2 linked regions of the Arabidopsis thaliana genome follow. The protein of the gene in region 2 interacts with the protein of the main gene of each other region in a pairwise test. Each region holds a gene or a part of one and is shown on either strand. Other genes may lie near its edges.

Region 1 (8,012 bases), on a different chromosome or scaffold from region 2:
GAGCGAGGAACACTTGTACCTTACAGCATCTTCTTTGAGAACCTTCCTAGGTTGTCGATCTAGGAGCATGAAGAGTTCTCCTCCTGGATAGTAATCTGTTATAAGACATATATGTGTTTTTGTCTGCAGAATAAAACATGATCCATTAGTAACCAAAGACCAAAGAGACACGCATATATATATATATATATATATATATATATATATGTGTAAACAGAGGTTTTGACCTGAAAAGAAGCGTAGAGTGCAGGAAGAAAAGGATGGTCAAGCAAATCTAGGATCTCTCTCTCAGCTCTAGCTCTATGTACCTGCAAAAAATTATATCAGTGGCTACAAAACTTACAAATAAAAAGCGAAACTCAAGATTCCTTGAAGTGCAAGTTACTGTAATTACTTTGTTTCGGTTAAGCATAACAGCCTTGTCCATTGCTTTCATTGCAAACAACTGATCTGTTCCAACGAGTTCCACTAGATGCACACTGATAAAACACAAATGGGATATTATAAGATTAATGAAGGAAATGTTCTTTTTTTTTGTAAGCTATTTCATTAGATTAGATAGAGTTTCAGACCTTCCTGTGTCACCAGAACCCAAAGGTTTCACCGGTTTGAAATGCTTCAAACCAATCGGTTCACCACTTTCCAACACCTTTTGGATAGCTATCCATGGTGGTGAATCTTTCCTGTGAGGCTTACAATGAACAACCTTTGAGTGGTTTGCCCATAAATCCTCTGGTGTCTTCAGAAACAAGACACAATAAAACATTCTGTCAGATATATTCTAATAAACCTTAATCTAAAATGATCATATTCAGATCCTTAGACAATCACTTACCATGTTGGCATCAGGAAGTTCTCGAACCGCTTCATCGATATTCACAGCTGTTTTTTTCACCTAAAGAATATAGATTAAGGTTTAATACTTGATTTTCTATCAAACGAATACTAAATCAAGATCAATAGTTTAGGATTCCAGACCAGGTCTTCTCCCTCTTTCACTGCGGTTTCTTCAATGACATTGCGAACTGGTTCTACGTGCTTGCTCCCGTCTAGTTGAACTCCAATAAAGTATTGTACTTCTCCCTGTCAACAACATATCAAAGAAAGAATATAGACATCTTCAGTTTTAAATTCATAAACCAAAAGAAATTGAGGATTAGTTTGAAGGTGCCGTATAATGCAAGATATCTATGTAAACCATTATACCTTCTGATCACGCATAGGTTGCAAGTGGAAAATGTTCCAGAACTTCTTTCCTGCCACAGAGAATATAATGTAAATTTAAAACTTTATACAATGATCGACAGATTAATCTAAGAATATCGAAAAAATCGAGTACCGCTCTTGGTGTAGTTGATGAGCTGAACTGTCACTTCGGTTTGGTTATCAATAGCATTTCGAATCTTCTTCACTGTGGTTAGATCAGTCTCTGGACCTTGTAGAAACCTAAAACCATGAAACAAAATTTATAAACACATGCTCTATGCTCAAAAATATTTTCAAAAGACATTTTGAGATCACATTCATGTAATACCTGCAATTTCTTCCAAGAATTTCTTCACGGCTATATTCCGTGAGCTCCAAGAAACTATCAGATGCAAAAATCTAGAAACATAGGACAAAGCAAACAATACGTTTTCAGACCAATCGAAATGAAACATAACAAAAAAAGTTTCCATTTTTCTAAAACATTTGTTCTTACAATGGGATTATCGGGAAGCCTAGGATCAGTGATGACGAAATTCTTCTCGATACGTTCGAGTGTAGTAGCTAGATCAATACCCTTTCTCATTTCCTTTTGTCTCACTTTATCATCCACACTCTCAGGTCTCTCGTCCCTATCACTAATCTCATCGTCTTCTTCTCCATACTCTATAAATCCATCGTCTATAGATTCATCCAAAGATTCGCTCTTCTTCTTGATCCTATCACCAGAGTATCACAACAATCATATCAAAGACTAAATCGATTTTTATAAAGTAATTGTCAGGTAAACAAATGATCTAGTAAGGATTATTACCCCATGAAGGAAAGGGAAGATTTTCTAGATTTTTTCTCGGGAATTTCGTTGATTCGCTGCATCGAGTTTCTTCTTCCGCCGCCAGAGTTTCTTCGGCCTGACGGAACAACATTTTCGGACATTCGCCGAGCTGGTTTTTTCGGAAGTTCATCGCTCTCCGATTTTGTCATGAAGGGATGGAGATTCGTCGATTCGCTTAGTGCCCGAGGTCTCTTCACCGCCTCTACTAGCTCTGTCACTGAGTTTGTCGCCATATCTTTTTGGCGGGCTTTTACAAAACAAAATTTGAAAATATTTTTAAGAAAACATAATAAATGGAAAAAAATTTGGAAAAACAAATAGAAAAAGAAAGTATGTAAATACCATCGTATCGAATCAGAGATTCCGGAAGCCCATTGGGCCTCAAAGCCTTTTCTTTGGCCCCTTCAGTGTGCTTGCTCACCTCCACTTGCATTCTGGTCCAAATAAACAAAACATATTGGTATCTTCTGATTTTTCCTCAAAATCATATTTTTTTATCAGATTCTATAATTCTTTTCTTTTTCCTGATTGATTATTCTCTTTTGTTATTCTACAATAGGATCCGTCGGTGATACAAATCTTTGAATTATTGCGGAGAAAGCAACACAAATCACAGGTCCACACTTAGACCCATTAAAAAGGGTGACATTTTGAATGAAAGAAATAAAGGAGAGAAACGAGTAAATAAAAAGGAATAAGGGACTAACCCGATAAATTTGAGGACTTTGCCACTCTCGTCTTTAATGGGAGCAATCGTGAGAAGATTCCAAAAAGAGGTCCCATCTTTCTTGTAATTCAATATACGCCCACAATAATTGTTACCAGCAGCTAATGTCTCTCTTATCTTTGCTAACTCATCTGCATCTGTACCTGATCCTTGTAAAAATCGGCTACAATAAAACAAAAACCCAAATTATGTTCTTTTCTTCTTTCTTTTTGTAAATAAAATTCATTCATTGAACAAAAAATGGTGGAAACTTTTGTAAGAAATTTTTCGAATTTGCAAAGAAATGTTCGATTTAAAAGAAATATTTTAAGTTATCATTAAAAAATAAACTTAGTTTATAAAAGGCTATTAGTTTGGAAAAACAACATAAAAATTAGGTTTATAAAAAGTTTTTAGAAATTTAGTAAGAGTTACTAAATCATTTAGGATAACCATACCTAAAACTTAATCTTTGTAATTTTGGTACACAGTTTCGAAAAGTTCTAAAAAAATAAAATAAAGTTAGGTTTAATTTTTGAAAATTTAGAAAGAATTACTAAGTCATTTAAGATATCTTTATACATTTATAGTAACCATAAACCTAAAAACAAAACTATGATATTTAATTAGAAAAAACTTTGCAATTTTGGTAATTATTACAGAAAACGAAACGTATTTTATATATTAAAAAAATGCTCTAAAATTTTTTGAATAACTTTTTACCAGTTTCTGCCGACGACTTCTTTGGAAGTGTAACCAGTCATATTGAAGAAACCAGCACTTGCATACATAATCGGATAATCAGGTTTTGTAGCATCTGAGACCACAAACGTTTGTTGAAACGTCGACAACGCATCTTTTAGATCTTCCGATACTCTTGGAATCCCACTCCTCCCGCCGGGAACATCTCCGTCCGACATCTCACCGGAGCTCCGGCAAGAGTTTTGCGAGTTTCTCTGCGATGTAGTCTTTTTCCCGTTAGGATCATTCTCAGTTCCACCAGAGTTCCTCACGCCTACTCCTTGTGGCTTTCCCGTCTTTGTATCGGTCTTCAAAACCAATCCCCACTCTGCCGCTCTCTGCTCAGCCGCCACCGCCGACTTCTGTGGTTTCTCGGCGGTGATCGTCTTCTTGGAGATTGTCTCCGGTGATGGGTCTTTCAGAGCCATCCATGAGGTCGTGACAGCGATTTCTTGATCAGACCGAACAGGGTTGGATGGAGCTGGTTCTTGTTGTGGTCGGGGTTGAGGACTGGTGCCACGTGGATCACTCAAGTTTTGCCACGCTGGTGGTTCAGGACGGAACACCGGGTTATCGGGTCGGGTCAGCTGAGTTGACGGGTTGAATACTTCGAGAGAGCCACGAGTGTCTCTAGGTAGAGTCCGAGAAGATGGTTTGGTCGATGGTTTTTCTGTTGGTTCCATCTTTGAGCTCTCTCTATACACGAAACAAAAATTGTGGCCAGAAAATAAGTTTATATATAATTAGTTTAATGGATAGACATAGATACCACACGCATGTGTGTGTATATGAATCGGCAAATAAAAATATTTATTCTCTTAAAGTTAGATACTATAAATATATGGTATAATATTTTATTGATTTCTAAAAATGGACACATGACCAAGTTCTTTTGTGGTAGATGGATGGTTTGATTACTGAAAATGAAAACACTATACAAATATGTGATATGTGAACTAATTAATAACGGTTAGATATGTCATATGTTTAGTCATAAACAGAATGGGTTTGACCATAAAAAAAGAAGGAGAAATAGAAAGGAAAGTTGATTAAAGTTTGAAATATCAGTACAATATATGGAAATGGTAGTATTACTTATATTTTTTTTTGTCATTTAACTTCTTCAAGTAGTATGGTACATATTGGAGTTAACCTCTTTTCATAAAATTAAAAATAACTAACTTGCATTAAATATTTATTAATAAGAGATTATGTCTACAATTTTATACAAAAAAATATAATATTCTAAACAGACAATGTGGTGGTCCATTTCTACACGGATCGAGAGAAATCCACTCTATATCACTTTGGTGCATTTCTACTAAGGCTGACTGGATATGTCGATATGATTTTACTAGATGCTGACCATAAATAATTCATCAATCACTCATTTTTTTTGAATCTTCAAAAATGTTATCATGAATAACAAGAATCTTGCTCTCTTAGGTGTCTTTCTTTTGGGAAATAATAGACTAGACATATCTAACATGATAATGAATACATGTTTTATATGAATGTATATGCATGCAGGTAACATTATTAAATATGGTTCAAAGAGTTATGGTTTATGGGGCCATAGATGAATGAAGATATGAACTGGAAAATACGCCAATTTTGAGAGTGACAATTCCAAATGAAGCGGGGGTAAAATTGAGAAAACGACACAAAGGTGTAAAGTTTCAATGCTTTTTTGAGTTTTTAGTACCACACAACACATGCATCTTCTAAGGGTGGTTTAGTCATTTTGGTATAAAAATGGACAGTTGTTCTATTACAAAAACAGTAGCTGAACCGATTCTGTTCGATCGATCACAGATTTCAACTAAAAATCTTTGTCTTTTTTTCATGTTCTTGTCATTTTATCAATTTCCACATAAATGAACTTTGTAAAATAGTTTATCACTCTATTTATATGAGAACAAATAAAAAGAGTAAAAAATTTCATGGTAAATAGGAAAATCTATTTTTATTTAAAAAAATTGAAATACATATCTTTATGAATTATGATTGGAGAAATTTTAAATCGAATTCAGTTGAGTTCTTGAAATATGCAACTACCATGTGATGTGTGACTTTCACAAAAAAAAGCTGACATTCAAATAATTTATATATATACTAGTTTCAGATCAAGCTAGTAGCTAGAGTGCTAGACGATATAAAATGATATCTACTTCACTATTTATATTTTTACACATACAAATTAAGGCCGAAAATGTGACAAGAACCCTAAAAAGATGAATAACATACAAATTAAAAAAATGAATCGTCCTAAAAATAGCCTAAGAAAGTGAGCAAGACAGTATAAATCGAAGGGAGAAAACTACCTTGCAAGTTAACTTGTGCTGGAAGAAACAGATTATCCTTCGATTTTTCCTTCACTCTCTAGTCGAGAGATAAACTGAGGAATGAGTTTGGGATGAGAAGTTAACTTTCCCGAGGCTTTTTATACAAATAAGGAAATTTTTTGATAAGAAGAGATTCTAGAAAGATTAAAAAACTATTTAGGTTTCATGATTGATTTAGTTCCGTTCTAGCTCCATCACTGGATTATTTGATCTTCCCATGCTTCGAATGTTTTTGATTCCACATGGCTTCTTTTGTTTACTTTCAAAAGATTGTATAGAAACGTAACACTAGTATCGTTTATCTATCTTCTGTATAACTCTGTCTTGATAATTAGATTATAAACCTGAATATACTCTCTTTGTCAAACAAAACCAGACCAAACATAAATATATATTCTGACTATGCTCAATATTCAATTTCTATGGCACTTATTGGAAACGAATGGTTTATATGACTTAACCAACAATTTTATGATGTTGGTTTGACAGTGATTAATCTAGGTTTTGGTATAGGACAAACAGGATTATAAAAGAGAATATTGCACAAAAAAACTTGCTTGTTGTAACTTGTGCGTATAATTGAAGTAAATGATAAATAAAACATTTGAAGAACACATAAGTGTGTGGAGTGATGGTTGTTCTTTTAAAAGTTTCTGTGTGTGTCAGTGACTATAAGTGGGAGTGAGTTGTCATTTGAAAACGCCAAAACCGTTCCCAAATGCAAATGCAGAGACCCAATATTACATAGATGTTCTCTTTCCACTTTTGTAATGGTAGAAATCTCAGTCTTTATGCATTGCAAGATATTTCATGCAAAAACATTAAAGAAGAACATACACTTTTATCCGATTTAGTGATGAAATCGAACATGGAGATCGGTACAGAAATCACAAACAAATTAAAAAGCAATCACATGTCATTGTTATATGCATTTTTGGTTGATTTATCAAAACTTTCTCTCGCTTTTTTTTTGTCAAAACTTTCTCTCTTTAAAATGGTTTTATTAATTCTGTCTCTATTTTGTTTTCCAAAAATCACTCTAATTATTAATTAGCAGATAACTTCCCTATACATTACGATGCATAAACAAAATATATTGCAAGAATATATAGCAGTTGTTAACCCAATCGATTTGGTATGCTATCAAATCATGGGCACAAATACAACCTTAAACTTTGGATAAAAAAATAAAAATCCAACCTTAAACAACCATGCATTTGATCATTTGCATATTCTAAAAAGCAATGTGTAACTAGTTTAACGGTGTAACAAATATAGACTAGCAATGGCATAGCGCCGATACGTCTCAGATTGAATAACTAAATATTTTTTAATTGCATGTAAATATTGTTAAAAAAAAAAACAGTATCATCATTTGTAAAATTTGGTATTAATATAATGACCCCACTACACTCAAATTCAGTAACATTTTTTTCTCTTAAAAGTTATATTATGATCCCGGTAACAAAAATGGATCTGCCACTACAGACTGGTCATCCCAAGCGATCACGATCACTATCAGGCTTGGTTAAAAATATCAGAACAGTTCAGATTCAAACCCTTTTGTCGGAAACCCTATGGACAAAATTTGTGAAGGGTATAATACAAAGAGGAGAGTATGGTAACATTTCATATACAAGTAGGACCAGAACCCATGTGAAGATTGATCAAAGAGAAAAAAAGATCTTAACGGGTTATAATCTTATCCATCATGTGTCCATTGTGGGTTTGAGTGTGTGGTGGGGGCTGAAAATGTTACATCAATCTTCACATATTGGCCGCTTAACTTCTCCCATTTTCTAAATTGACCCCTTTTTCTTCCCTAGACAAATCAAGATTCAAGATGGGACAATGACACTGGTTAGTTTACATCAATCTTCACATATTGGCCGCTTAAATTCTCCCATTTTCTAAATTAACCCCTAGACAAATCAAGATTCAAGATGGGATAATGACACTGGTTAGTAGTTACTATATGCAAGAATATCTACATTAGGAAAATTTAATATTTTCTAATTACCATTGTTTTTCTATCGTCATATATATTGTTTTGGTAAAATATACGATGTTGGTCTACTGATAGTACAAGTAGGAATGTTTACATTAACACAAATTGTTTTGTTTTCTCTCTCCCTTAAATATCATTGATTCTAAAAAAAAAAGCATTGTTGAGGTAAGT
Region 2 (5,953 bases):
TGACCGGAATTCCTCTTCGCCATTCCCGCCGGCTTCTTCAATGTCGCCGCTATCCATTTCTCACGCCGTATCGGAACAGATCTCTTTCGACAATGAGACTAATATCTCGTCGGAATCCGAGATCGGAGAGTTTGAAATCTGATGAGAACGGAGATCGAGAGACTCGACGAATTAACGGAAAACAAAATTTTCAGAAGAGATGATTTTTCAGATTTCAGAGAATAAAATATTATAAACTGAGGTAAAATTAAAATAAGAGAAAACAAAGGGAAGAAAAACTAAAATGGGCTTTTTAATTGGGTCAAGCTGGCGGCTGAAATGTCCTTCAATTACTTAGCATGAGAGTCTTTTTGGTCAGTTCAAAGTCTTCCAGATTTTATTTTTGATTAACTCTAAATCATTAATTAAAGGCTAGACATAAACTTATCAAATCTGAAACTCCCCAATAAGTATAGTATAAAAAAAGTAAACCTTATCTTAATAATCCTTGTGGTCATGAAGATTGATTATTACATAGTTAATTAATATATTCGTTATCAGTAATTTTTGAATCTTTCCAATATTCTTAGAGGTTTAAAATAAAAATATAAAAATGACAAAATAGTTGGTAGTCAAAGTTACATAAACAATTGAAAAAAAGAAACATGATTACAAGCCTACAATGCACACATTTAACAATGGAAGCTCTCTTTTGTTTTTTTTAGCTAAACAATGTCCAAACACACAGTAACTGGACATTTGAACCGTGGAAATTTACCATTTTCACCTCTCAGAACTAATGCTCGAAGCTTTCTTATGCTTCCCACGACGCTCTTTAACATCCTTTAGCTTCTCTATCTTCACATTCTCGTTGTTAGACTTAGACACAGAACCTTCCTGAGCACTGCACATTTGATGCGACTTCAGCTTAAAACCGAACCCGAGTTTCTTAGAAACGTTTTCCCAAGTCTTGCTACCGACTCCATTGCTTGCAGAACCACCACCTTTTGTCGTCTTACCGAGTTTCTCAATCTCTTGTCTCATGTTGGAACATTCTTTCTCTAACTCACAAACTCGCATTCTCATACTGTCCATTCCAACTTTCAGGACTTGATTCTCTCTTACCGCGGTTGCCCATCCTCCTCCTCCTCCGCCTCCTTCGTTTGGTCCTCCTACATATCCTCCGCTTCTTAACTGTCTTGATCCGCCATCGAGGTTGTCTGAGACCAGGAAGCATCCAGCTACAGAGGTTCTGAGCTGTAGCTGCTCAAAGAAGAGCACTTGGACGATTATTCTTAGCGGTAATCTCTCGTTCTGCGCCGCATGTGTACAAGCTTCTAAAGAGAGTTTCTGACAATCTAACAACCGGCACAGATTCTCTCTTTCTGTTTCCGCCAACCATGGATGATGCTGAGAATCATCAAAAGAGAGAAAACTTAATCTGTCTGTGTGAAAAGAAACCTGTTACATAGGAGATTGATAGGGTTCTTTTGAGTGTTACCTTTAGATAAATGTCTATTGCACGATAGAGTCCGTCATCTAAGAGTCTGGCGTATTCAGGAATAGAAGCAGCTAAAGCTTGGAACTTTGGAAGCTTAAGATTGACATCAGGAGCAACTTCAGCAAGATACCCATCAATCAGCTTTGCAACCGCTGTCATTGGTGTTATTGACTGTGGGGATCCGATTAAATTCCCGTCATCTACTGAAGAACAAGGAGAGCCAACCCCACCAGGCATAATCTGATCTGTCCCAAGAAAATGGTCCAAGATCCTTTGCACAGAGTCAACATCGTATAGGGTCTCCATAGTATGAGAAAAGCTAGGCATTACAAGATCTTCCAACGCAGCCTGGTCAAGCTGCATCCCTATCCTCTTCTCCAAATTGGCTATGCAATCCGGACTTGCTTTTAAAATCTTGGCGATTCGAAGCATGTCAACGAAAAACTTGGTTGGAACTAAACCTTTTTGCATACGAAGAAGCTCCTGGATCTCTTCAAGCAAGTTCTTCTGCTCTTCCTCGGACAGTACATTCCCTGAGCCCAAAGGTGTGCTGAAACGACCACTAGATTCAGGTCCACCACGTCGTCTTTTTAAGCCAGGCAAGTGTTTTCGTGTGTAATAGGTTAGGGAGCCAGCGATGATGTCTTCTCTAATGCCGCGGGACTCCATCACCGTGATAAGTCTCTTAAAAAGGGGAAAACTTAGCATCGATGCATCCTCGTACCACCAGTCTGAACTAGTATGTTTAGGTCTAGCCCCGGTGCTTATCCCATTCCATAAAACACTGCCACCTGGACTCTGCATGGGCCCACCATGCTCCACAACTGGCCATCCAAACAAGTTTGGGTCTGTCGATGCTCTCATGGCTAGTGACTCAATGCATTTCTTGGTAATGTTCAATTCATCAGCATACTCGAGGACCTCATCGCAGCTATGAAGCGCTTTTATTGAATCTTTCCAGCTTTTGAGGACTACTTGATTGAAAAATGTTTCAGTTTGAGAAATAAGATTTCCTTCCCCATGTTCTTCAGTCATTTCGAGATGCTCAGCAGCGCATCTGAGATATACAACGTTAGAAGCAGTGAGTTCAAGCTTCACACCATAGCAGAACTTAGCGACTAGTTCAAACGTTTTGTCTCCACCAGGAAGATCAGAGATTTCAATGAGACATTTATCATCGCCTTCTTTTGATGCTTCTGCAATCCTTCTTTCCATGACTCCACTTCTAGAGAGCAAGGGAAACTGCAGATAGCCATTTTAAAAATAAGTATGAGAGATTGCAAGTAATAACATTCTTTCTCAAAGAGAAGGCTTAGTAGAGACTGATTTCTACAACAAGAGTCAAGAGTTCTCATTATTAGAAGCAAGGCATTGCCAAAACTACAGATACTGAATTGAGTTTTGTAGGAACCAAAAGCAAGACACTGGTGATTAGTCATTAGAAGAAAATAAAGAGCTCAAAACCAAATTTTCAAGGAACAGCAGTAACGATTTTTTTTATCCACAAGACTGATAAAACACAATGTATGAAAAGGAAAATAGAAACCAAACACAACTTTGATACATTAGCAGTACAGATATTTACAATGCCGAAGGACATAACATTCTAGAAGACCAATAATTAGTCCAGATAAATGCAATAATATCCCACAGTGTTTCGAGAAGAGAGTGTTTTAACAAATTGTACCTTGTGGAGATGAAAAGACATCTCCCCAACTTCAACGACAATATCACTAGGAAGTCCAGTTGTGCAAAACCTGCAATTAGCAAAAGACCAAAGAAGACAAAGTCAGACAAAGGAATGAGCTTTGTTTAACTCAGTAATGCTGCTATTTGCCTTAAAAGAAAGACCATGGTCTCAAATCCAGACCAAAGTCTGCTCAATTAGAAGCACAAACTTGGAACGAAAATACAATATAAAAATCAGAGAGAGGTCAAGTGAATATACCAAGCCTGGCCTTGTCTCTGGAAAGCATCAGATTTGGATCCCAGCTTCATGCAAGCCATTCTTTCTCTCACCAGAATTCAACAAAGAAACTAGGGAAATTTGAGCCTCCAAAACCCTAAAAAAAAACTCCCTCCAACTAAAATCAAAACCCTAATGTACAGAGTTTCTCAGATAGAAAGAAACTTTGGATTCATCCCTCAAAACCCAGATCGAGATAATAATAAAAACAGATCAATTTCACTCAGACATTCTAACAAACACTTAAAGCTGCTTCCTTTCTCCACATTCAGTAACAGAACTAACACCAGAAATTAACCTAAACCCAACAACAGATCCCTTGAGCAAAACCACTAGAAACCCAGAATCTCAAATAATCTTATCTCCAACACCAAATTCAAACAAAAAATAATGAAAAGAAGAAAAGAAACCAACCCCAAGAGCACAGCTAGACAAGAACAGCTAAGCAGAAGTTACCAGCTTCTTTATACGAGAGAATATACATGGAAGAAGGGGACCATATACCCCCAAACATTAAATATTATAAACTAAATAAAGGCAAAATTGTGGTCTTGTAAGAAATTAGAAAGTGAATTATTAATTGGATAATTTCAGTATTGGTTACTTTAGAAACTCATTTAATCGATAGTGATATAGAAAAAGGAAAGAGATGATGGAGATTTGAAAATCTCGAGATTAAGAGATTAATGAGTCTTTTCTTTTGTTTAAGATGAACACATGCACGCATGTGGGGTCATTTGTATCTTCAAACATACTCATTGTGTTGATTCTTGATATTAGCAAATACACTTTTGTTTTCCAATTTCATTTCTTAAATGTGGGGTTTAATTTTGTCCTAATCTTTACTCAAAGAATCCAATCTTTCCCACTAACTTTTGGCGTGCGATTGCGGTTATATATACTTAAGTGTTTCACTCCCTATCTCAAAATTTTGAATTCTGATAATTAAATAAAATATTTTATTTACTAGTTTATTCTTAGATTTTGATTCATTTATACTTAGAGTTGAACACTATGTGTTTATGATAATTTTCGTGACCTTCGATCTCAAAAAATTTCGTATGGATATATGTTCTGTTGTAAACACCTATGTAGTAAATCATTAACACATAGTGTTCAACTCGTATACAAACTATATCATCTAGTCATCTACGTACGTTTGTTACACATAACTTTCAGAACGTGGATCACTTCAATATTTCATGAATAACCTCGCCGACTTGTCATAGTCACGAAGGAGTGCGTATATAGTAGGTGTAAAATCATGGGTGGCTTTAAATAGTTTGGCGCATTCATGTCTTAAGTGATAACGGTATGTATAGTTGAGGAGTCCTCTTGCTAATCAAAATTAGGAATCAAATTGTATTATCTATGGAGTTTCATTCTGCCACTTTTTAACCACTATTTAATCATGACGCTCTACATACATACTATATCGTTTACAAAAGAACAAAAGATTATATATGTATACAGAGAGAAAGATATATCTCTGAATATCCAAACCGATACAATATGCGAACGCACTTGGCGAAGTCACGAAAGACATTTTATAGCAAAATATTCCTCTATTATTATTTGGTGATGGAATGTGATTTTGTCCGTAGTACTATACTTATCTAAGCATGTGGTTGAAGCTTCGTTGTCCGACGAAGTGTCTTTTAGTTCGGCTGACGTACGTAGTAACCAGCTAGCCCACGTGAACTTTTGACTTCTCTTTGGTTAACTTTTTTGTACTTCTCAACTTCCCACAAAAAAAAACTGAACCAACGACTTCAATAAACATATAATTAAGGATTATTTCAACCTTTAATTTGTACTCTAGCGATTTAAACTAAACTGTTTTCATTTTGAAGTTTTAATGCGGTTTCTAACTATGCACTTATATTACGTCGATAATAATCTATATACATGTCTATGAACAAAAACAATTAAAAGAAAAATAAACAAAAATACGCATGCAATGGTGAACAATGATAAGGACCTAAACGGCGAAGCTAAGTGTGAGTGACTGAGTGTCTTATCCTTATGTCTTTAGGATTCTTGAAATCTTGAAATTGGAATGCTCTTTCTTTTAAACATTTTTTATGCTCCTTGTCCACACACAAAAAGCACCTTTCCTTTTACATGCGTTTATGTTCTGCCTTTGTCGATCTACACTCACCCCCACATCCACAAGTCAATTCCATTTTTTTCAAATTCTTTGTAAAAAAAAAAAAACAGAAACCGTATACCACTACTTTTTATATGTATCTACTAAAGACAAGTAGTTTTTTATGGAAGTTTAAATTATCTTAGACAGAAGAGTGAAATCGAGATCTCATTTTGAGGGTGTCTAATATTGTATTTTTTCCCATGCTCATAAACCTTGAGCTAATCATTACGTGTTCACTCTCTAGTGTGTATGTAAAAGTAAATTACATGATAAGTTTACCTCACATTCTGCTTTTACAAACAAAAAGGTGAAAAAAAGAAAGAAAGAATATAAATTTACAAGTCCGAACAAAACC

Evidence for each region. Proteins that work in one complex are often made in the same cells at the same time.
Region 1: the proteins of AT1G30440 (region 2) and PHOT1 interact in a two-hybrid assay, tested with the Arabidopsis thaliana proteins (one study listed by BioGRID).

Annotation. Positions count from the first base shown.
Region 1 is NC_003074.8:16,814,716-16,822,727, reverse strand, and holds the start of PHOT1 (phototropin 1), read right to left. Parts: upstream 6,008-8,012; 5' UTR 5,813-6,007; intron 4,382-5,812; exon of another isoform or gene 4,185-4,381; 5' UTR 4,172-4,184; coding exon 3,471-4,171; intron 2,932-3,470; coding exon 2,749-2,931; intron 2,476-2,748; coding exon 2,384-2,475; intron 2,289-2,383; coding exon 2,021-2,288; intron 1,926-2,020; coding exon 1,703-1,925; intron 1,606-1,702; coding exon 1,535-1,605; intron 1,447-1,534; coding exon 1,340-1,446; intron 1,257-1,339; coding exon 1,207-1,256; intron 1,084-1,206; coding exon 979-1,083; intron 896-978; coding exon 836-895; intron 740-835; coding exon 573-739; intron 480-572; coding exon 395-479; intron 309-394; coding exon 228-308; intron 124-227; coding exon 20-123; intron 1-19. UniProt on the Arabidopsis thaliana protein: Protein kinase that acts as a blue light (BL) photoreceptor in a signal-transduction pathway for photo-induced movements.
Region 2 is NC_003070.9:10,757,009-10,762,961, reverse strand, and holds AT1G30440 (Phototropic-responsive NPH3 family protein), read right to left. Parts: upstream 4,220-5,953; 5' UTR 3,488-4,219; coding exon 3,429-3,487; intron 3,238-3,428; coding exon 3,168-3,237; intron 2,723-3,167; coding exon 1,481-2,722; intron 1,390-1,480; coding exon 763-1,389; 3' UTR 533-762; downstream 1-532. Other genes in the region: CCC1 (cation-chloride co-transporter 1), read right to left, coding at 1-57. UniProt on the Arabidopsis thaliana protein: May act as a substrate-specific adapter of an E3 ubiquitin-protein ligase complex (CUL3-RBX1-BTB) which mediates the ubiquitination and subsequent proteasomal degradation of target proteins.